Drosophila melanogaster: one gene and its partners. The gene in region 3 interacts genetically with the main gene of each other region. Each region holds a gene or a part of one and is shown on either strand. Other genes may lie near its edges.

Evidence for each region. A genetic interaction does not mean that the proteins touch.
Region 1: of COX5A (region 3) and Cul1, changing one suppresses a phenotype caused by changing the other (phenotypic suppression), as found in Drosophila melanogaster (one study listed by BioGRID).
Region 2: of COX5A (region 3) and Prosbeta6, changing one suppresses a phenotype caused by changing the other (phenotypic suppression), as found in Drosophila melanogaster (one study listed by BioGRID).

The regions. Positions count from the first base shown.
Region 1 is NT_033778.4:7,914,522-7,923,340, reverse strand, and holds Cul1 (cullin 1), read right to left. Parts: upstream 6,388-8,819; 5' UTR 6,233-6,387; intron 6,164-6,232; exon of another isoform or gene 6,007-6,163; intron 5,610-6,006; 5' UTR 5,378-5,609; coding exon 4,502-5,377; intron 4,441-4,501; coding exon 3,394-4,440; intron 3,338-3,393; coding exon 2,936-3,337; 3' UTR 2,368-2,935; coding exon of another isoform or gene 2,290-2,367; 3' UTR 2,227-2,289; coding exon of another isoform or gene 1,869-2,226; 3' UTR 1,762-1,868; downstream 1-1,761. Other genes in the region: Kdm4A (lysine demethylase 4A), read left to right, coding at 1-104; Or43b (odorant receptor 43b), read left to right, coding at 798-1,573, 1,869-2,226, 2,290-2,367; CG12159 (uncharacterized protein), read left to right, coding at 6,989-7,440, 7,820-7,976; CG30377 (uncharacterized protein), read right to left, coding at 8,781-8,819. UniProt on the Drosophila melanogaster protein: Core component of multiple SCF (SKP1-CUL1-F-box protein) E3 ubiquitin-protein ligase complexes which mediate the ubiquitination of proteins involved in cell cycle progression, signal transduction and transcription.
Region 2 is NT_037436.4:16,607,639-16,612,482, forward strand, and holds Prosbeta6 (proteasome beta6 subunit), read right to left. Parts: upstream 2,781-4,844; 5' UTR 2,681-2,780; coding exon 2,592-2,680; intron 2,517-2,591; coding exon 1,898-2,516; 3' UTR 1,762-1,897; downstream 1-1,761. Other genes in the region: Arts (artemis), read left to right, coding at 1-216; CG4098 (uncharacterized protein), read right to left, coding at 590-1,004, 1,061-1,569; Su(P) (suppressor of ref(2)P sterility), read right to left, coding at 3,100-3,191, 3,254-3,660, 3,725-4,479. UniProt on the Drosophila melanogaster protein: Non-catalytic component of the proteasome, a multicatalytic proteinase complex which is characterized by its ability to cleave peptides with Arg, Phe, Tyr, Leu, and Glu adjacent to the leaving group at neutral or slightly basic pH.
Region 3 is NT_033777.3:11,816,474-11,822,372, reverse strand, and holds COX5A (cytochrome c oxidase subunit 5A), read right to left. Parts: upstream 3,015-5,899; 5' UTR 2,971-3,014; exon of another isoform or gene 2,953-2,970; intron 2,826-2,952; 5' UTR 2,729-2,825; exon of another isoform or gene 2,663-2,728; 5' UTR 2,662-2,662; coding exon 2,212-2,661; 3' UTR 2,074-2,211; downstream 1-2,073. Other genes in the region: Kyat (kynurenine aminotransferase), read left to right, coding at 554-1,093, 1,153-1,965; glo (glorund), read left to right, coding at 3,431-3,800, 4,236-4,367, 5,035-5,179, 5,616-5,761, 5,829-5,899. UniProt on the Drosophila melanogaster protein: Component of the cytochrome c oxidase, the last enzyme in the mitochondrial electron transport chain which drives oxidative phosphorylation.

The DNA of each region.
Region 1 (8,819 bases), on a different chromosome or scaffold from region 3:
CCTGTCCGGATCGAGGGGCCAACCTGCTCACCAACGGTGTAGTAAAGAATACCAAACGAATGCGCTTCCAGACAAAAGTACTCACACTTGACGACGAGGATTGAGGATTCCAGATGTGGCACTGCTTGCTGGCAGTTTTTGATCTCCTTGTTAGATTTTCGCGCCGCAGCAATCAAAGATCTAGTAGTGATATTCTTTGGTAAATTTTTATACATTTTAAGAGGACATGACGACATAACTAAGAAGATATGTGTGTATAATTTAGAAGACAAGCAAATTCGTGCAAACAAATATGTAAATCTTTAAGCTGTAGCTGTAGGGCAGACTGAATTTGTCCGTTCACATTTTAATTTAACAAGTGTCTGTTCCCACCGAAAGAAGTATTGCAACACAATTTAAATCTGAAAATGCCAAAATCATTTTTTAAAGAACACCCTAAAGGCCAATGTCTATAATCACACAGATATATCGTTTAATAATTTGATATGTTATGACATGTGTAAAATTCTTTGCAACCAAAAGAGAAACGCCCACTAAATTGGCAACCATTTTTAAGGAACTATCAGAAAAAATCATTTAAAAAAAAAACACCCTAAAGGCCAATGTCTATAATCACACAGAAATATGGTTTAATAATTTGATATGTTATCACATGTGTAAAATTCTTTGCAACCAAAAGAGGAACGCCTACTAAATTGGCAAACATTAATTAAGAACTACAAATCGCGGACTATAAAAGCATTCCGAGCTCCTCCTATCGCCAGTTATATTATAGCCTTAAACATTCGAAACTTTAGATGTTCGGACACTTTAAGCTCGTCTATCCGGCTCCTATATCGGAGCCCATACAGTCTAGGGATTCGAATGCATACATGATGGAGACGCTGCGAAATTCGGGCTTGAATTTGAAGAACGATTTCGGTATAGGCCGCAAGATTTGGAGGGTGTTTTCGTTCACCTACAATATGGTGATACTTCCCGTAAGTTTCCCAATCAACTATGTGATACATCTGGCGGAGTTCCCGCCGGAGCTGCTGCTGCAATCCCTGCAACTGTGCCTCAACACTTGGTGCTTCGCTCTGAAGTTCTTCACTCTGATCGTCTATACGCACCGCTTGGAGCTGGCCAACAAGCACTTTGACGAATTGGATAAGTACTGCGTGAAGCCGGCGGAGAAGCGCAAGGTTCGCGACATGGTGGCCACTATTACAAGACTGTACCTGACCTTCGTCGTGGTCTACGTCCTCTACGCCACCTCCACGCTACTGGACGGACTACTGCACCACCGTGTTCCCTACAATACGTACTATCCGTTCATAAACTGGCGAGTCGATCGGACCCAGATGTACATCCAGAGTTTTCTGGAGTACTTCACCGTGGGTTATGCCATATATGTGGCCACCGCCACCGATTCCTACCCTGTGATTTACGTGGCAGCCCTGCGAACTCATATTCTCTTGCTCAAGGACCGTATCATTTACTTGGGCGATCCCAGCAACGAGGGTAGCAGCGACCCGAGCTACATGTTTAAATCGTTGGTGGATTGTATCAAGGCACACAGAACCATGCTAAAGTAAGTCAGTTTCATTATCCTACCGGAAATATCAACAACCGTGAATTATGTTTTCACTCAACGGATCTGAATTTATTCGGAAAACTGAATAAAAGTACAACTTTTATAAGAACTCGCTATTGATATTTCTGAATATATAAGAGTATATTTTTACATTCAGGATAAAATAAATGGTATATCAAACGATTCGACATAAAACTATTTTATTTCAAATAAATTAGCTTACATTTTTTAAAATATATGCATTAATTTAAATTTTCAATGTTAAAAACCCATCCCACTGTTTCCCATGCAGTTTTTGTGATGCCATTCAACCAATCATCTCTGGCACGATATTTGCCCAATTCATCATATGCGGATCGATCCTGGGCATAATTATGATCAACATGGTATTGTTCGCTGATCAATCGACCCGATTCGGCATAGTCATCTACGTTATGGCCGTCCTTCTGCAGACTTTTCCGCTTTGCTTCTACTGCAACGCCATCGTGGACGACTGCAAAGAACTGGCCCACGCACTTTTCCATTCCGCCTGGTGGGTGCAGGACAAGCGATACCAGCGGACTGTCATCCAGTTCCTGCAGAAACTGCAGCAGCCCATGACCTTCACCGCCATGAACATATTTAACATTAATTTGGCCACTAACATCAATGTAAGTCCACTGCTCTCGGTTAGAACGGGGAAGGAAGCAAAGTCCGAACTTCAATCCTTGCAGGTAGCCAAGTTCGCCTTCACCGTGTACGCCATCGCGAGCGGTATGAACCTGGACCAAAAGTTAAGCATTAAGGAATAGAAAGGAATACTCAATACAATTGACCGCACCAGAGGTAAACGTACATAGTTTTATGAACTTAACACTTTTTTGCTTCGTAGAATTATAATAATTGTATATGCATACAGCGAATTATGAATAAACATAATCTAGTTAAAACAAATATTGATCGAACAATGGGAAGTAAAGAAAATCGCTACATATGTATACCGTACAGCCCCTGCAGAAGTCTATTTGTAGGCTGGGAACCTGGAACCTTGTCCTCGGCAATTGGAATATGTTCCTACAGAGGCCGGATTCATCGGCTGTGATCTGGTCAATAGGTTCACTTGATCCCTGCGACTGGCCTTTTCTTTGAATGAGGTGCTGGGTGTCGGAAGATGGAGTTAGTGACGCGTTGGCGAGAATTGCACATTTTATGCGAAGCATGGAGTATTTTTAGCTCGCTTCTAGTTCGAATGTTTCGGCGGCAGTTTATTTCGGGCTAGGAGGAAGGGTAGCGGAGGGTCGACACGAATCTAAGTTTATTGATGATATTTTTAATGGCTGGCATAGATGAAACAGCGAAAGTTGTTCATTTAACAAAAACTTAGGCGAGATAACTATATGTGTCTTTGTGTCCCTCCATTCGCTCTAGATACTCCTTCTCGATCAGGATGTCTATGCACTTCTTGATCACGGGCACCTTAGGCTTAAAGCGCGTTGACAGCTGATTAAGCACCTCCGATATGAGATTGGTGTGGTTGAGTCGTTTGCGCATCTTCATGATGCGGACGATCGCCGCCTGGATCAGTAATTTTCGGTCCTCCTCTATGTGCTTATGTACAGTCTCCTGCTCCACTTTAAGTTCAGTCTTCAAAGGCTGGTTGATGTTAATTCGGCGCTTCTTGTTTTTGTAATCGAGGAACAGCTCCACCGTCGACTCTGGCGTCAGCGAGTTCTCATTGTCGCTGGAGGTCAGCACCTTCGCCTTGAGCAGTATTTGCAATACCTGAAGAAATTCTTACATAAGTCTCTATTAATTCTATCTATTGACACTACTCTCACCTGAATCAAGTTCTCCTGCTGCGTCTGTGTGTTGTCCTGCAGTTGCTGGACTGTAAAACTGAGCTGATCGTTAAACTGGAGCAGCACTGACATTTGGAAGGTGCTGGCCTGCAGGGTGTAGGTGGAGGAATTATTGCGGTTGACGTTCATTATCAGTTCGCCCTTGCACATCTGATACAACCAGTTGAGCTTGCGGCCAGAGTGGCGGGCGGCGTAGAACTCATTGAACTGTCGCACTGACCGCTCCAGCTCAGATGGTAGCAGGAAGTTGTTGCTCAGCTGGAAAGGCCAAGAGCCTGAGGACAGGACTTCGATGCCAAAGTCTATTTCCATGGTCAAGTTCTTTTCGGCCAGGTACTGCTTAAAGTACGAGTTCAAGTCCTTTGAGACGCCAATGTCCTGGAACATCCTCTGAAGCTTGACGGTGTATTCGTAACCACATGTCTGCTTCAGTTTGGAGATCATCATAGCCTCGGCGTCATCCGAAGCCGATGTGTGGTTAACCAAGCGCTTAGCAAGCATCTTGGAGTAATATTTTTGGAAGACGTCCTTATCCTCGATATACTTGAACACGACCATCACCTGGTTAAGATTGTCCTCGAGCTCCTTGTCCTCGGGATTTTTCGAGGATTTTTTTAATAACAGATCGCAGTACTTGGCCAGCAATTCGGGCGACTTGCTAGCACTGTTTGCGATCGTGACCACGTTCGAGTTTATGAACTTTCCACACGCCTTGTCCAAAGCGGCCACAAATCCGTTGTCATTGTTGAACGCCGTCAGAACGAGGGCGTTGTACTTCTTGTGCACGTCCAGGATGGTCTGTACGTACGTCTTGGGATCGTTGGCCGCGTCGGTAGTGCAACACTTGGCAATGGCCTCCGTGCCCTGGTGGAGTATATGGTTCTCAAGGATGGACTTGAGATCTGTCAGGTTTTTGGACGAGAGGGCGACCAAGGAGTACATCCGTTTCAGATCATCGTTTCGGTCTGCGTTGAGCAGATTCTGAAACTCGGTGTGAAAGATTTTCAGATGTTTTTCGATAAGAACCTGAAAGACATTGATTCGGTTAGTAGGCGGCTTTAAAGTTGGACACGGTAGGCAATCCCACCTCTTCGCATGTGGACTTCAGCACATCCGCTGTGGTCTCGTGCAGATAGGAAAGACCGTTCTTTGAATTAAAGCCGCGGACGCGCTGCGTCTCCTCCTCCAGCCTGTTTTCGACGTGCTTCAGATACTCGGTGACCGTGTTGGTGGACAGAAAGGCGTCCGACTCCTTCTCGTAGAAGGCTGATGTGTCTGCGATGAACTTGTTTTCAAAGTTTTGCTTGTAGACGGATAACTTCTGCTGCTCGGCATCGGTATCCTCCTCGTTAAAGCTGAGCTCCACGTAGCACTCGATAACGTCGCGGACCAGCGACCGGTTAATGAGCTTGCCTTGACGCTCCTCCTCAATGGACTTGAGCACTGCCTTGGTGACCGGCTCATTTAGCACTTGGAACAAATGTCCCTTCCAGGCGACGAGGGCCAGTCGGTAGATCTTGTAGATACCCTTCTGCCCCTCCTCGCACTCGCGCTTCACCCAGTTCCGATTCAGGTAGTTGCAGATGCCGTCCAGAACGGTACTGGAGAACTGATACGACTTCCACTGTTTGGTGTAGCGCGACAGGAGTACCTCCTCGCCGCTGATGGCCTTGAACTTGGTGAGCAGCTCGCTCAGGTATGACTTGAGAAATTGTTCCAGCCGGTCGTACAGCTTCTTGCCCACCAGCTGCGCTCCGCCTGTCTTTCCGCTGCTCCGTCCGCTTGGAGCCGCGCTCACGCTGGTGCAGTAGTCATAGACGTGAGTGTAGAAACGCATGTACTGGCTGCGGGTGAGGGACTTCTCGTGCTCAAACACCTGCATAATGCCCTCGACCAATTCGCTCCAGATATCGTCCAGGTTGACGAGTTTCTGTGTGGTCTGGGAATTGCCGGAGCGGTTCATTCTGGCGGCGGTGGGTTGTGGCAACGGCCTTCTGCCTTCTTCCACTGGAGGATGCTGTCCCTGCAGTGGCGCTGGGCTGGAGAAGGCAATGACCCTAGGTGGCGAATGCTGCGCGGGCGACAGGGGATTGCTGCTGCTTTCCAGGTGGCGTCGTTTCGCGGCTCTCGTCCTTGGAGTTGTGGCCGGAATCTTGGCGAATCGGTGTTCCAATTTTGGAATTTAAAGTGTCAATCTGCAGATGAGAGAATCGGTACAAAAACGGAATGGGATTGGGAATGTAGTAGGCCTCGCCACGTTAAAAGCGACGACCCGAAGGTCGCCTATTATGATCCAATGTCACAGCAATAAAAGAGAGGCTTGCGGAATACACACACACACACACATGCACGCACAAGCTGTAATGCAATGCGCGGTGGTCGGACATGCCCTGCAATGTAGGGTATTGGCCAATCGCATGGCAGGTGAAGCCCCACCACCGCCCCCGCTATCGTTAGATCGTGTTCGAAAACCCAACTTCCTGGTTAAATAAACACTCGCATGCACACATATGCAGTCGCCCTCGCCTTCACACACACACCCGCACCCACACAAAGGCACATAAAGCCAAGAGAAAAGATAGCGGACATAACCATTTCACAACTAAATTGTTAACATTTTTTTCGATTTTTCACATAGCTCCCTCCAAACGAAATTTATTTTCCTGGTAAATTGAGCCGTGCGACTGAGTTTTCTTTTCGTGACGTCGTGATGGATTTGATTTCCCCTTGGAGCACACACACTTTTTCTCTTTTGTTCGCCATTTTCAAAGCACGAAATCCCGTCTCTTTGCATTTCCCTCATTTTGCTTTATATTACCTGTTGCCAGACGCTGCTAAAATTAAAACTAAAACTAAATTAAAATTGTGTTTCACTGCTTTGCTTATAATTAAATTAATTTTTTTTTTCTGTGAAAATTGCTAACTTTCGTTTATTCCTAACTATTAAAATGTGTGACCGTTCGGCCATTGCGCTGCAAGGCCCTCGACGGTGGTATCGCTTAAGACCAGCTATCGTTGGCGATCTATTTATTGGGCGCCACTATTGGTGGCGATCTCATTTTTCAGGGAATTCTTTACACGGAAAGCAGTTATATTATAGTTTATAATATCAAATATCGCTGTTAGGCTCTTCAAAGCGTGATGTAAAATATCGGCAACGCGGTTCGTATCTTAGATTTTACAAATCCGTTAGCGGTTACAGAAACCTTCTTATAGATGTCATTTTCCTGGGCACACTTCCTGGAACTTGAGAACAATCTATACTTTATATAAAACGATTGGTCTTAGCACTTGCATAATAAAACCCTTTTCAAATAATTAGGGTATGCTTATATAGTCTTATACAGGTTCACCCTAATGCCCGTACGAAACACAACTCCTCCAGGACTCAAACCAATGTGACCGTGTATAGAAGGCATACGCATTTACTTCAATTTCGATTCGTTTGCTTTGACATGTGCGGCAACTCTGACGCCAAGCAAAACAAAAACAGTGCAGCAAAGAAATTTAAAAGGTCATTGTTTATGCTTAGAAGCGGCTATATTTAGTAATTTTGATAGTTGGATACGAAAAGATGTCCTGTCGCTGCTTCTGCTTAGTGGCTGCAGCACTGCTGCTGCTGTTCTTCCACCAGCAATCCTGTGACGCAGCCACCCAGACGCCCCAAAAGACGGTGGTAATTGCGGAGCAGAGTGCGCCGGCTGCTGAGGTGGAGGCCAAAAAGCCAGTCGTGAAGAAATCGCAAGCAGAGAATCCTCCGGCAGGACCAAAGGATTCTATGGTGGTCGTAGACGATGGCGGACCTGCTCCGGTTGCTCCAGGTGCTTCGGTTGCCACACAAGTTTCACCAGGAGATGCCAAGGCACCGGAAATGGTGCAGCCTCCGGGAGGTCTTCCCGTGGATGATGTTCATGTTGAACGCTCTCCCATGTCCCCCGATGTGGACTTTCCGGGCCAGGCTGTTGTCTACATCCTCGTGGGAATCACCAGTACTGCAATACTGCTGCTTATTATGAGGGTTTATAGGTGAGTTAATGAAGGACATATCCTAGAGCTCTAGACTAGAGTCCAGAAAAGCATGAAAGGTTATTTCAAAGTCTTCCTTATTATTTTGTAATGCAAAGGTAAAACAGCAAAGAATAGATTTTTAAGGATTTCAAAAGTTTACAGCGATCCTTTATCGTGCCTTGAAATTAAAATTTCCAGTAAATATTGTTAGAATACTAATTTAAAACTAAGCGTAATGTTTAAATATGTAGCTTTAAATATTCTTATCGGTGGACTATATGCAAAACAGACTACCTATATATACTGAATTTTACTTTATACATACATACCTACATTATTAAGTTATTATACTAGCAATTTTTGGTGATAAGACTAATCGAATCGCAAATCATTGCAGGCTCCGACTTTCCCGGGCGGAGCGCAAGTACGGCGTGCAGGGCGACCGCGCCAACCAGGAGCTGACACCACTGCCCATGGCCATCGAGGACGTGAATAGTGACGAAGAGGACCACACCCTGTTCGAGGTCAATCGCCAGAACATACGCATATTATGAAATAGCAGACACATGCACACGCCAAAGATCCGTTTGGTCGCACCGCCATTTCCGACACTTCTCATCAGAACTTGCCTTGTTTCGTAGCTATTTAATGCTTTGTAGATTTGAGCTGTAGCTGCCAGCCAATAGCCGACTAAGCCCACTAATAACTAAGTTCTCTGCATTTCTCCTACTCGCAGTTGGTTCAGGTTTAACGAATCAAAAAGGAAAACAAAACCACTTGTGATAACGATTACGATGATATGTATGCAAGGCATTAAAAATCTCATAAATACCAATGCTTTCAAATCGCCTCTGCGTCGATGTTCCATATAAATAAATGTTATATTACATGTACTCGCTTCTCTCTTTATTCTTCACACTTTCACAGGACGAATCTAGCTATAATTGGTTACAAACGTAGACTTAATACAGGTTAATGGGCTTATGGATAGCTGTGACAAAGGATATACATAGGCTGGATACAGGCAGTATACGCGTACGCACGGAAACAAATGCACTAACTTGTACTTATTAACTAGGATCACATAAATAATTTATTAACAATACTGCGACTGCGGCTGTGGCTGTGGCGGCCCTGCCCTGCCAAGAAATACCACAGGAGCTTACGACTACCGCTAACACTAAACTTGAGCTTCGCTAACGTTTTACATTTGTAGTTGGCACTGTAGTTTGTAATATTCCGCCGAGCCATTTTCCATTCTCCCGACCTACCAGAGTCGGATCTAGGAGCTAACTGGTGTGGCTACATAGCCAACGGCGTGGGTCGGCGATCGGCATCCCCGATGGGAATTCCCGAAATCAAATCATGCTGCCAAACATCCGTTTGCCGCGCGTCAG
Region 2 (4,844 bases), on a different chromosome or scaffold from region 3:
GTGCTATACTTGAAGGCCCGCCCCAGCATTGAGGCACATCTTGAGCAAATCCTGGCCATCACCATAGAGGCGAGTTACAAGAAACAGATGCCTGACGTCGAGACAACCGAGAGCGCGGTGGCCCTCATCAAAGAGATTCGCGCCAACTACCCGGAACTGTTCAGCAAAGTATCGAACATGAATCCAGAAGTGTTCAATTATGTGCAAGCCCTGTAAGCCCACATATCCGTGTGAAAACCACCAAACAGCTCAGAACACCCAACGTCCTCCGCCCGCAGATTCATTTATTGGAAGTGATGCAAGCTTTTTATACGAATACTTTCGAAATAGTCTTAAATTTCAGTTGTGCTTCTGTGGAGTTAAATCATTCAAGATGAGCGATCTTTAAAAGGGCAAGATGAAGGTTTCTACGCGCCAAAAAACGGAGGAAAATGTTTTCTAACTTATAACCACATCCAGTGAGACATTAATATGCATTGAAATAATATAGGGATTACTTGTTTCATTGAAGGCTATGTTATTATTTAAAATTGGTTTTTCTTCAACCATTAGGCAGTTGATCTTAACTCTTATAGTTTCAGTCTAGTTTCTACCAGTGTGCATTTCGTCGGATGACAACCTCACGGACTATGTCGGCATGATTGGCGTGCAGCTTGAGATTCGAGTCGACGTCCGTCCAGCGCACATTGGAGGCATCGTCACCGGCCATTAGCTCCAATTGTCCCACCTGGCTCCCGTCTTCATCGTGGAAGTTCAGCGCAGTGGTTTCCATCCAAGCGTTGTCCGTGTTTCGAAAATCGTCTACGTAGCCTTGGTATACCTGAACGCCTCCCGCTTGAAAAAATCGCTCAACCATGTTGGCTTTGTCCGTGAAATTCAATGCCTCCTCGGTGAACTCCCGCTTAAGGGTGACACTGACATTCTCGCCGGGATCGACCATTCCACCGGGAATGGCCCACAACTTGTTGTCGGACCGCTGTATGGCAACCATCTGTATGATATTCCTGCAGGAAAGAGGAAGTGATGTCATCACAGTTAATGGGCTATTGGGCCAACTTACTTGCCGGTTGTCGGGTTGGCCACAATTGCTCCTTGGTCGTCACGCTTCCAGCGCGTGACGATTGGATCTGCGGCATGATTTGGACCCCATCTGCCTAGCGAACCACGTCCGGTTAGTCCGGTACGCCCGATCGGATTTAGGGGCAGTCCATTCTGCACGTTGTAGGCACCGTGAAAGGATTCGCGGTTTACCTGTCCATCCAGCTGATTCCACTGTGGCCAGAATGTGTCGCTGGGCAACGGCGGATCAGCCCACACCTGCCCGCCAATATGTGGCGCCGTGTACGCAGGCGGGCAGTAGTCCGGGAACGGCTCCGACCAGAAGACCTGTTCGTCGGAAACTGGGTACCGGAGGACTGAGCTGCGCGGATACATGTTGTTGCGGCACATTAGGTGCCGGAAAATGCCCGGCTTCACCAGCGATGACATCATTTGGGCGGAGGTTAGCGGGTTTTCCAGGATCAGTGGCAAAAACAGAAGCGGCAGCAGTGCAAACTCGAAACTCGTCATTGGACTGAATTCTCTGAGAGACGAACACTAAGAAATGATTTTGTTAACGCACACCAGCGGGCACAAACTTAGCTAGCAAAATGGATTTGTTGGTACGGGGAAAGCTGTACTATTCGCACAGCCTCTTCTGTGAGCACTGCTTGGGAACGATTTATTTCTAGGACCAGCTGGTCACACTAGGCCGCATATTTTAAATCTCAAAGATTCGGTTTATTACGATGTTTTGTTGTTTTGGGTAAATACAAAAATTTGAAGCCAACTAACTTAGAATGCCTGGTTTCCACCGAATGCCCCTAACCAAAAGAAACGGCAACATCCTCGCCACAGGCTAGTCCTGACGCAGCGTCAGAGTTCGTACTTCAATTCCATCTTTGGTTATGATGTTGATCAGCACAGAGTCGCCGGTGTAGATGTCGCGCTCAGCGGCAGAGATGAAGGTGTCGGAGGCAACGCTCACGGCCCGCTCCTTGGTTAACTTGATCTTGTCGGCGTCTTCCAAATTCATGTTCTTGTGACCAATCTGGTTGTCCAGCACCGGTTGCAGCAGGGTGCCGGCAGTGCCGCCGGCGCGGTATGTAGCCTTCTCGCAGTGACCGATGGGATCGTAGGAGTAGACGACGCCCTTGCCCTCGTTGTCAATTCCAGCCAGAATGTTCGACACGTAGTACGGGAAGAAGCGGCGATTGTACATGGCGATGGAGAGCATCTGGGCCACGGCCTCAGTGGTCATGGTGCGCAGATGGGTATGCTCGTAGCTCTGCATGCGCACCTTAATCGATCCGGTCAACGAGAGCGTGTCCGCCCAGCAGCCTGCGGAACCCAACACTGTCTGGGGCGAGAGTTTAAAGAGTTTACTCTGCGTTCGCGAGTGAATGTTGTAGCCGCTGCTCAGGCGGGTGTCCGCTGCAATTACGGCAAAGTCATCTCCGGCGATGGCCACAATGGAGCTGTAAACAGGGAAGACTCCGGTTAGATGGAGACATTCTTCCACATCTCGATTCCGCTGGGAAATAGCAACTCACCCGCCATTGGACTCGTAGGGCGAGAAATCAGGATGCTTCATGCCGGGCACCTGGTAGTCCGGGAATTGCTCAAAGCCCAATCTGCTCATGTTTTGTGCTGAAATTCACCAATTAACTCGCCAAGTAAAAAACCAACGAAATGATTTGCAAGTTTGCAAGCGGCTAACCAAAATCACAAAATCAATGTGACCGTTGTTGAGCATCGGATCCAGCCTGCTTAAACGTTATCGATAGGTATACATACGTCGGTTTGGGATATTTTTATTAGCAGGAGGTATTTATTTAGTAAACATTTTTAATTTAACATATAAATAAAATAACAATATAAAACCTAAAATTAATTCCAATTTGTACCATAAACTTGCACTCCTTACGCGTTTTTGACCAAATATATACATTCAGATACCATAAACGAAACGGCAAACTAGATTTGATTAAAATGTATATTTTAATGAACATTTCGGTTATTTTCAACAATCTTTGGATAAAATAAGGGCAAATATTTGTTTTAAGCTATAGCGGCCATGTTTTCAATACGTTCTCTTTGCAACTGCCCACGATTCTTCTCCACCAACGCCTTGACGTCATAAAACCATTTACCTGCGGAAATATGTAAAAAGTTCGTAAAAAGGTACAAAACCCGAGAAAGAAACCTTATTTACCGATGCTGGTGTTTTGCAGACAATCCTTGAACGTCTGACACCCCTCCATGCTTGAAAGCACGCCGAAAACCGATAGATCAGCCAGACTTGGCTGTTTTCCGCCCATGAATTTCGTGTTCCTCTTTTTCAGCTCAGTGGTCCACTGGTCAAGGGCATCGTACATGTGCGACCTGACGTCGTCGCTGAGGGCGTGACGGCGCTTCAGCATCTTGGCTATGGCCCACATGGCGGTGGCACCACAGTAAACCATCAGGTCGCGCTCCCATTTGGGGAAGTGAACGTCCCACTCGCCAGCTTGCGAGAACCACTCAAAAGTCTCTAGGGACTCGCCCATGGTCTGATAACAGTTGGGCGATATTAGATGCACCAAGTGGCTGTCGGCCCAGCTTCTCCACTTGCGATCGGTTCTAAGAACAGACACTCAAGGTTAAAAGATTTGATTAAAAGATTACTTGACCCTGGTTAACTTACTCATCCGTTTCCTTGGATACTCCCTTGGGCGTATGCTCGCGGTACATGAGGAAGTATTTATTCAATATGTCGTTCTTCTTTTTGCCATCATCGTCGAAGAAGGAGGTGTGCGGATAGAACTGTGCCAGCTCGCCGATGTCGGTGCGCTTGTCCTGCAGGTGGGTGGCTATAAGGGATATGATGGCACTTGAGTCCACCATCTGGACGTATTTGCCGTCCTGCTGTCGGATGAGCACCATCGGCACCTTCTTCACCGACGACCAGCGGATGTCCTGCCGTAGGACGGCATCCACTTCGACCACCGCATAGGATATGCCCATGTAGTCGAGGAAAGCGCGCACCTTGCAACAGAAGGGACACGTCTGGAACTGGAACAGCACAATGTCCAAACCGGACGTGTCCTTGGGGTTGACATAGCGCTTGGTTATCCGCACTCCAGCCGGAATCCCGTCCAGCCGCGTCGGCTTCGTCTCCTCGTGCTCTTTGTGCGAGCTGCCGTCTGTCCACCGCTGGTACATCGTATACACCGATCCGGTGGCCGCGCCTACGGTGGCCCCCAAAACTGCGAGCTTGAAAGTTCCATTCGGCTTCTTTCTGCCTCCGCCGTTTTCAACCGCTACAGCAAACTGGCGGCGTGCGAATGCAGCATCCGGATTCCGTTTAGTCAACAGGCGCAAGGCTCCACCTCCGCTTGCTGCCGGCGGGGGACGGACCCCTGCCAGAACGGTGGCAGACGCTAGCCGAATACATGACATAATTCGCACGTTTGTTTTGACTTATACTTAATATTATGCAAAAATTAGCGACTTATCAGCCGCGACTATGAGACCAGTGTGAAAAAATACCAAGACTTTTGTAGGGCTCCGGAATATACCATAAAGTTTTGAACATACCTTAAACGGTAACCCTGAAGAATGTGTTGGGGATGGGATATTTATTTCACTAGTGTTAAACTTTATAAAATGTATTTAATAATCCAGGTAATTGAATTTAAATAAAATCAAGCGAAGATTTTGTGCAAGCCTTTAAATACTTGCCGTTAATGAGCTAACAACCTTAAAACTTTGACCTAAAAAAGTTATCGATAGTTTCCACCTGAACTGTTGGTTCAGGGTACCAT
Region 3 (5,899 bases):
CAAATTAAAGAACCCTTTTATTTTGAGTATCTGGTTAATTGTCATTTTGTATTCAAGGTCAACTAGAAATGATCGTGGAATTAAAGCTCGTTTGGGTCGTTATCAATCTGTTTAAAATTGTGAAATCTGTAATTCGAACAGAAAGTTGATAATGATTTTTGTTTCCTGCAGCTAATTTTGGGTGAATTTCAGATCAAACATATTTATATGTTGCGGCATTAACTTTAGACGCTCTTGTTTATTTGCATATTTCAGTTTGCATGTGTGCGTGAGCGCTTTAAAACAAAATCGTGTCGCATATAGATATTCCGCTAGTCTAATCACAATTCAGTGCCATTATGCAACGTCACCGCGTAGTGCAGGCCTCCAGCATTTAACTCAACAATTGCATTTAAAAGTAAACCAGTGATATAGTTTATTGTTACATTTGAGATCAGACATCAGACCCGCAGAGACGACAGGCAAAGTGCGTGCTTATCGCGCAATAAACAATCCAGACACGCGGTGATAAGGCGAAAGGGAGCGATCATTCACTAAAGTCACCTTTTTACAGATGCTACGCAGCTGTCAGTTAACCCTCTCCGCCGCTAAGAGGAGCCTTCGCGAGCAGTTCCAGTTGCAAGCCCTTCGTCACCAGCAGACTGCCATTAAAATGGAGAAATTCGATCTGCCCAAGCGATTGCAGGGTAGCACGCCCAGCGTCTGGAACGAGTACATTGCCCTGGCCATGCAATATAAGCCCCTGAACTTGGGACAGGGATTTCCCGATGATGCCGCTCCCGAGTACGTGACCCACTCGTTGGCCGACATTGCCAAGGAGCAGAATCCTCTTCTGCATCAGTACACTCGCGGTTACGGTCACGTTCGCCTGGTCAATGCGCTATCCAAGCTCTATAGCGGTCTCGTCGGCAAGGAGCTAAATCCCCTCAGCGACATACTGATTACCTCAGGCGCCTATGAGGCTCTCTACTCCACCATCATGGGCCATGTGGACGTGGGCGACGAGGTGATCATTATTGAACCATTCTTTGATTGCTACGAGCCTATGGTCAAGATGGCCGGTGGAGTGCCCCGCTTTGTTCCCCTAAAATTGGTAAGAACCACAATAGAAAAAAAAAATATATCCCTCTTTTTAACATGTCTAACTTCTAGCGCAAGACAGAGGGACCAATAAGCTCTGCCGATTGGGTGCTAGATGACGCTGAGTTCGAGAGTCTGTTCAACTCTAAAACAAAGATGATTATCCTAAACACGCCCCACAACCCTATTGGAAAGGTCTTCAACCGGAAAGAGCTAGAGAGGATAGCCGAGCTCTGCCGCAAGTGGAATGTGCTGTGCGTCTCGGACGAGGTGTATGAGTGGTTGGTGTTCGACGGAGCCGAGCACATCCGTATCTGCACGCTGCCGGGCATGTGGGATCGCACCATTACTCTGGGATCAGCGGGCAAGACCTTCTCAGTAACTGGTTGGAAAATAGGCTGGGCCTACGGACCCGCTGAACTGATTCGAAACCTGCAGATGGTGCATCAGAACTCTGTGTACACCTGTCCAACGCCGCTCCAGGAGGGCGTCGCACGCAGTTTCGAGGTAGAACTGGCCCGTTTGGGTCAGCCGGAGAGCTACTTCCTTAGCCTGCCGCGCGAGCTGAAGCAGAAGCGTGACTTCATGGCCAAGTTCCTGTCCGAATCCGGTATGCGTCCCACCATTCCTGAGGGTGGCTACTTTATGCTGGCAGACTGGTCACCACTGGCGGGCAAGATTGATCTAAGCTCTGAGCCAGACAAGCATCGGGATTACAAGTTTACCAAGTGGATGACCAAGAACATGGGCTTGCAGGGCATACCGCCAAGTGCCTTCTACAGCGAACCCAACAAACATCTGGGGGAGGACTTTGTGCGCTACTGCTTCATCAAGAAGCAAGAGAACCTGGATAAGGCGGCCGAACTGCTGTCCAAATGGAAATAGTCGCCGGACAATAAACGAATTGCTATCAGCCGCTTTGTTTATCTCTGCCCGAATGCAGTTCCCTAACCTGGGTGTTACGTAACCAACAGGGAAAACAACCTTGTGCTGGTGTGGTAGCCTTACTGCAATCTCCATTTATTAGCAATCCAACAACATGTTCATCCGCACCATACATTGGATAGTAGGTAGCTAGTGTCGCTGTAACGTGTATATTGTGTTCTGTGTTTTTAAACTAGTGTTCTCCGCTTAGGCATCGTACACGGACTTCAGGGCCAATTCGGGCTTGTCGTAGCCCAGTTCCTCGATGGTTGGGATGCCCAGCTCCTGCAGTGTGGGGGTGATCTTCTCCAGCAAGTAGGGATAGAGGGTGGCCTTTTGGTCGCCGCACTTGTCCTTGCATCCCTCCAGCCACCTGATGGCCAGTGCAATGTCGTTGACGCGACGGCTGGCACGCAGACCGGCCTCGATGATCTTGGGGCTGGGCACCAGATCCATGCCCAGCAGATCGTTCATGCCCTTGCGGATCTCCCAGCCATCGATGCCCTCACGGCTGAAGTACTTCTCGTAGCGCTTGTCGAACTCCTCCGCCGATTCCTCGGTTCCGTGCAGACAGCGCACGGCGGCCACGCGCGACGATGTGCCGACGAGGCTGCTGCGGAGGGCGCTTGCCAGGTTACGGGCCGTGATGCTCAACATGCTGCCGTTAAAAACAGTAAAATGCTTGTTAATTGCAAAAATTTGGTTAAGTAACAGCTCGACTCACTTTTCTTGTTCTTGCTACTTTTCACACGGGTATGACAGATCTGAGTGATGGTTGGCAACACTGGCTTTTCCAGGGATGGACACGTTTATAACTGTCGCTGTCACGGAACAGTGAGATATTTAAAATGTTTCTGCTTCAGTATATTTCAAATTCGGGTAAGATCACAGTTAGTTTATCATTTTCCTTATATTTAATTTCTTCTATCTTGCCCAAAAAAAGCAAAAAAAAAATCAAAATCAAACCTTGTTTCTTTTTCAACGGTCCACATTGATGCTGGCTACTGCCAGGCGGTATTTTTTGATGATTTAATTGCGGTCACACTGCATCTTCAACTTGACGCGTGCTATTTGATTAATCTCTCTGAAAAATAAGTCAAATTAACCGATAAAGTTTAAAAAAAGGCGATATTGGAAGTTGAAACAGAGCAGAATACGGTTAGTTCTCTGTTCCGCCACCAGGTGTGACATTTAGAAGCGTTTATATTGTGTACGAGACTTGCAAAATGTCATAAGCAATTAGGGGTGACAAGAAATCAAAATGGCGTACGCGGTGCAAAAAAGAATCGCACCAAACAAGCGTCGCTGCTGAGTGGAGAATCACTAGCTCAAAAAATCGCATTTTCAGCCAGTAAAAAACAATTAAAACTAGTTAACCAGTGACTAATCGTTGTAACACCATTTGCAGGTAGAGATCTGGTGAAAAATGTCCAACGCAGACGTGCAATTTAACTACGGCCAGCAGGGAAATGGCGACAACTTCAACGACGACAGCAACCAGCAGCAGGATGAGGATGACCAGTACAACGAAGATGGCGGCGGCAAGATCGAAAACGTCGGCGAGAGCCCCAAATTCGTTCGGTTGCGCGGCCTGCCCTGGTCCGCAACGCACAAGGAGATACTCGACTTTCTGGAAAACGTGAATGTGACTAATGGCTCGGCGGGCATTCACCTGGTCACCAGTCGGGTCGACGGCAAGAACACCGGCGAGGCGTACGTGGAGGTGGCCAGCCAGGAGGACGTCGAAGAGGCTCGCAAGCTGAACAAGGCCAGCATGGGTCACCGCTACATTGAAGGTTTGTTTATTTGCCACTTGAGTGGGGGATGACTGTACCTGATGACTATCTTGGCAGTTATAGTTAGTTTCTTCTCACTTTGTTTATATGTTTATCCTTTTAACAAGCTTGAACTTGTTCTGATTCCATACATGGAATCGAAGATGATTTATTTCTTCATTGTTTTGCTACTTATACTGGTAGCGCTTATTTTCTTTTCATTCATTGTGGAATTTTACCTAATATTAAGGAGGTTTTACAAATATGTCACTGTATTGTTACTCTTATCCTTGCTTCTATCGAGGTAAACTAAAATTTAGTAAAGTAAATTTCACACCACCATTTATAATCTGTATTCATGTTAATTCTTATCTTAATAACAAACACAAAATGGTGCAGAAAACTTGTTTGTTTTTTTTCCGTTTTAACTGATGTAATTGGTTTTTATTTCTTTAGTTTTTACCGCCACGCCCAAGGAGGCCAAGGAAGCCATGCGGAAGATCAGCGGACACGGCACGGCCTTCGTTGTGAAGCTTCGTGGTCTGCCATATGCCGTCACTGAGCAGCAAATCGAGGAGTTCTTCTCTGGTAAGTTTCCTGACCCAAATCCTCTTTCCATACTAATATGTACCAGGTACCAGGAAAAAAGACAGTGGTTGACCGCATGTATTATTTGTTCACATCGTTGAGATATGGCCTACGGTCCCCTTTCATCTACACCTTTCATATATCAATTACACATGCGTTTCAACGTACATACATATTGTCGGGCAAAGAAATGCAGGCCCTTGCATTTGTGTAATGGGTTCGGCGGTTCACGCGGCTCCTTCCAAAGTCAACGGCTGAGAGTTGACGCGGTCACGTCCGCTTGTCCGATAAATCATTCCTTCGTTGGTCACATAACCCAGTTTACTTGGTTATATGGTCGATCATTACTCACAACCTTCAACTGAGCTACACATGTCTACGAGTTACAGGATCTGAGTTTTGTAATACATTGTGGTCCGGGAAACTCGATTGCAACAGTCGCATCTTGCCTGGTGATCATAGTTTGACTAAAAGGCACTGTTTATTTATGCAAACGTTGCTAATACCGTGAGAACCTGCAAAAGTTCTGCGGTGTTGGAACTAAACAATAACATTTATCAACCTCTGTATTTCTGTTTTTCTATCTAAGCTTAACCTTGCATAATGTATATATATATATGAAATCTATATATTTGTATAAATCTTTGTTGGTTATCGTCATGGGCAGGGTTGGATATCAAAACGGATCGGGAGGGCATACTTTTTGTTATGGACAGAAGGGGTCGTGCAACTGGGGAAGCTTTTGTTCAGTTCGAAAGCCAGGACGACACTGAGCAAGCCTTGGGCCGAAATCGGGAAAAAATTGGGCACAGGTGGGTTTCTAATTCATCATATCTTCTACAACAAAAACAGCGAAATTAAAACATTAAGTGGTAATCGATTGCGAACTTGTTGAAACACACAAGGACTATACAATTATTCACAAAATATTTAATAACTTTTATCACAAATAATTTCTATTTCAGTAACTGAGAAATCATTTAGCAAAAAATTTTCCCATAGCTACGGGTCTGGTGGGGCTCTCTAAATACATATATATGTTTAAGCGCGATCATGTGCTTTATCTAACAAATTAATTAAACTGTGAACAGCATTTTTATTTATTTTATTTGATCATTTCAATGAATTTATTTTGATTTCATTTTTTTACGTGATATTTAATAGTTGATCATGGAAAAAAGCCACCGACCCTAGCAATTTCAAGTACCACTTTTAAAATACATATATTTTCCACTTTTATTCACATAGGTATATTGAGATATTCCGCAGCTCGATTGCTGAAATGAAGAGGGCCACAGGCGCCGGTGGCGGTGTCGGAGGACGCCCTGGCCCTTATGACATACGTGATCGTGGTGCCAACCGTGGTGGCAATGATTTCGGCGGAGGGCGCAATGGTATGTTCAGATCTAATTGTTAAATTTTATAAAACTTCACTGATTGCCATTCCGATGTTAAACAAAGATTGGGGCAACAATGGCAACTTTGGCGTTGGTGCCAACAACATGCTGGGCTTCAACAATCTGCCAAGCCTG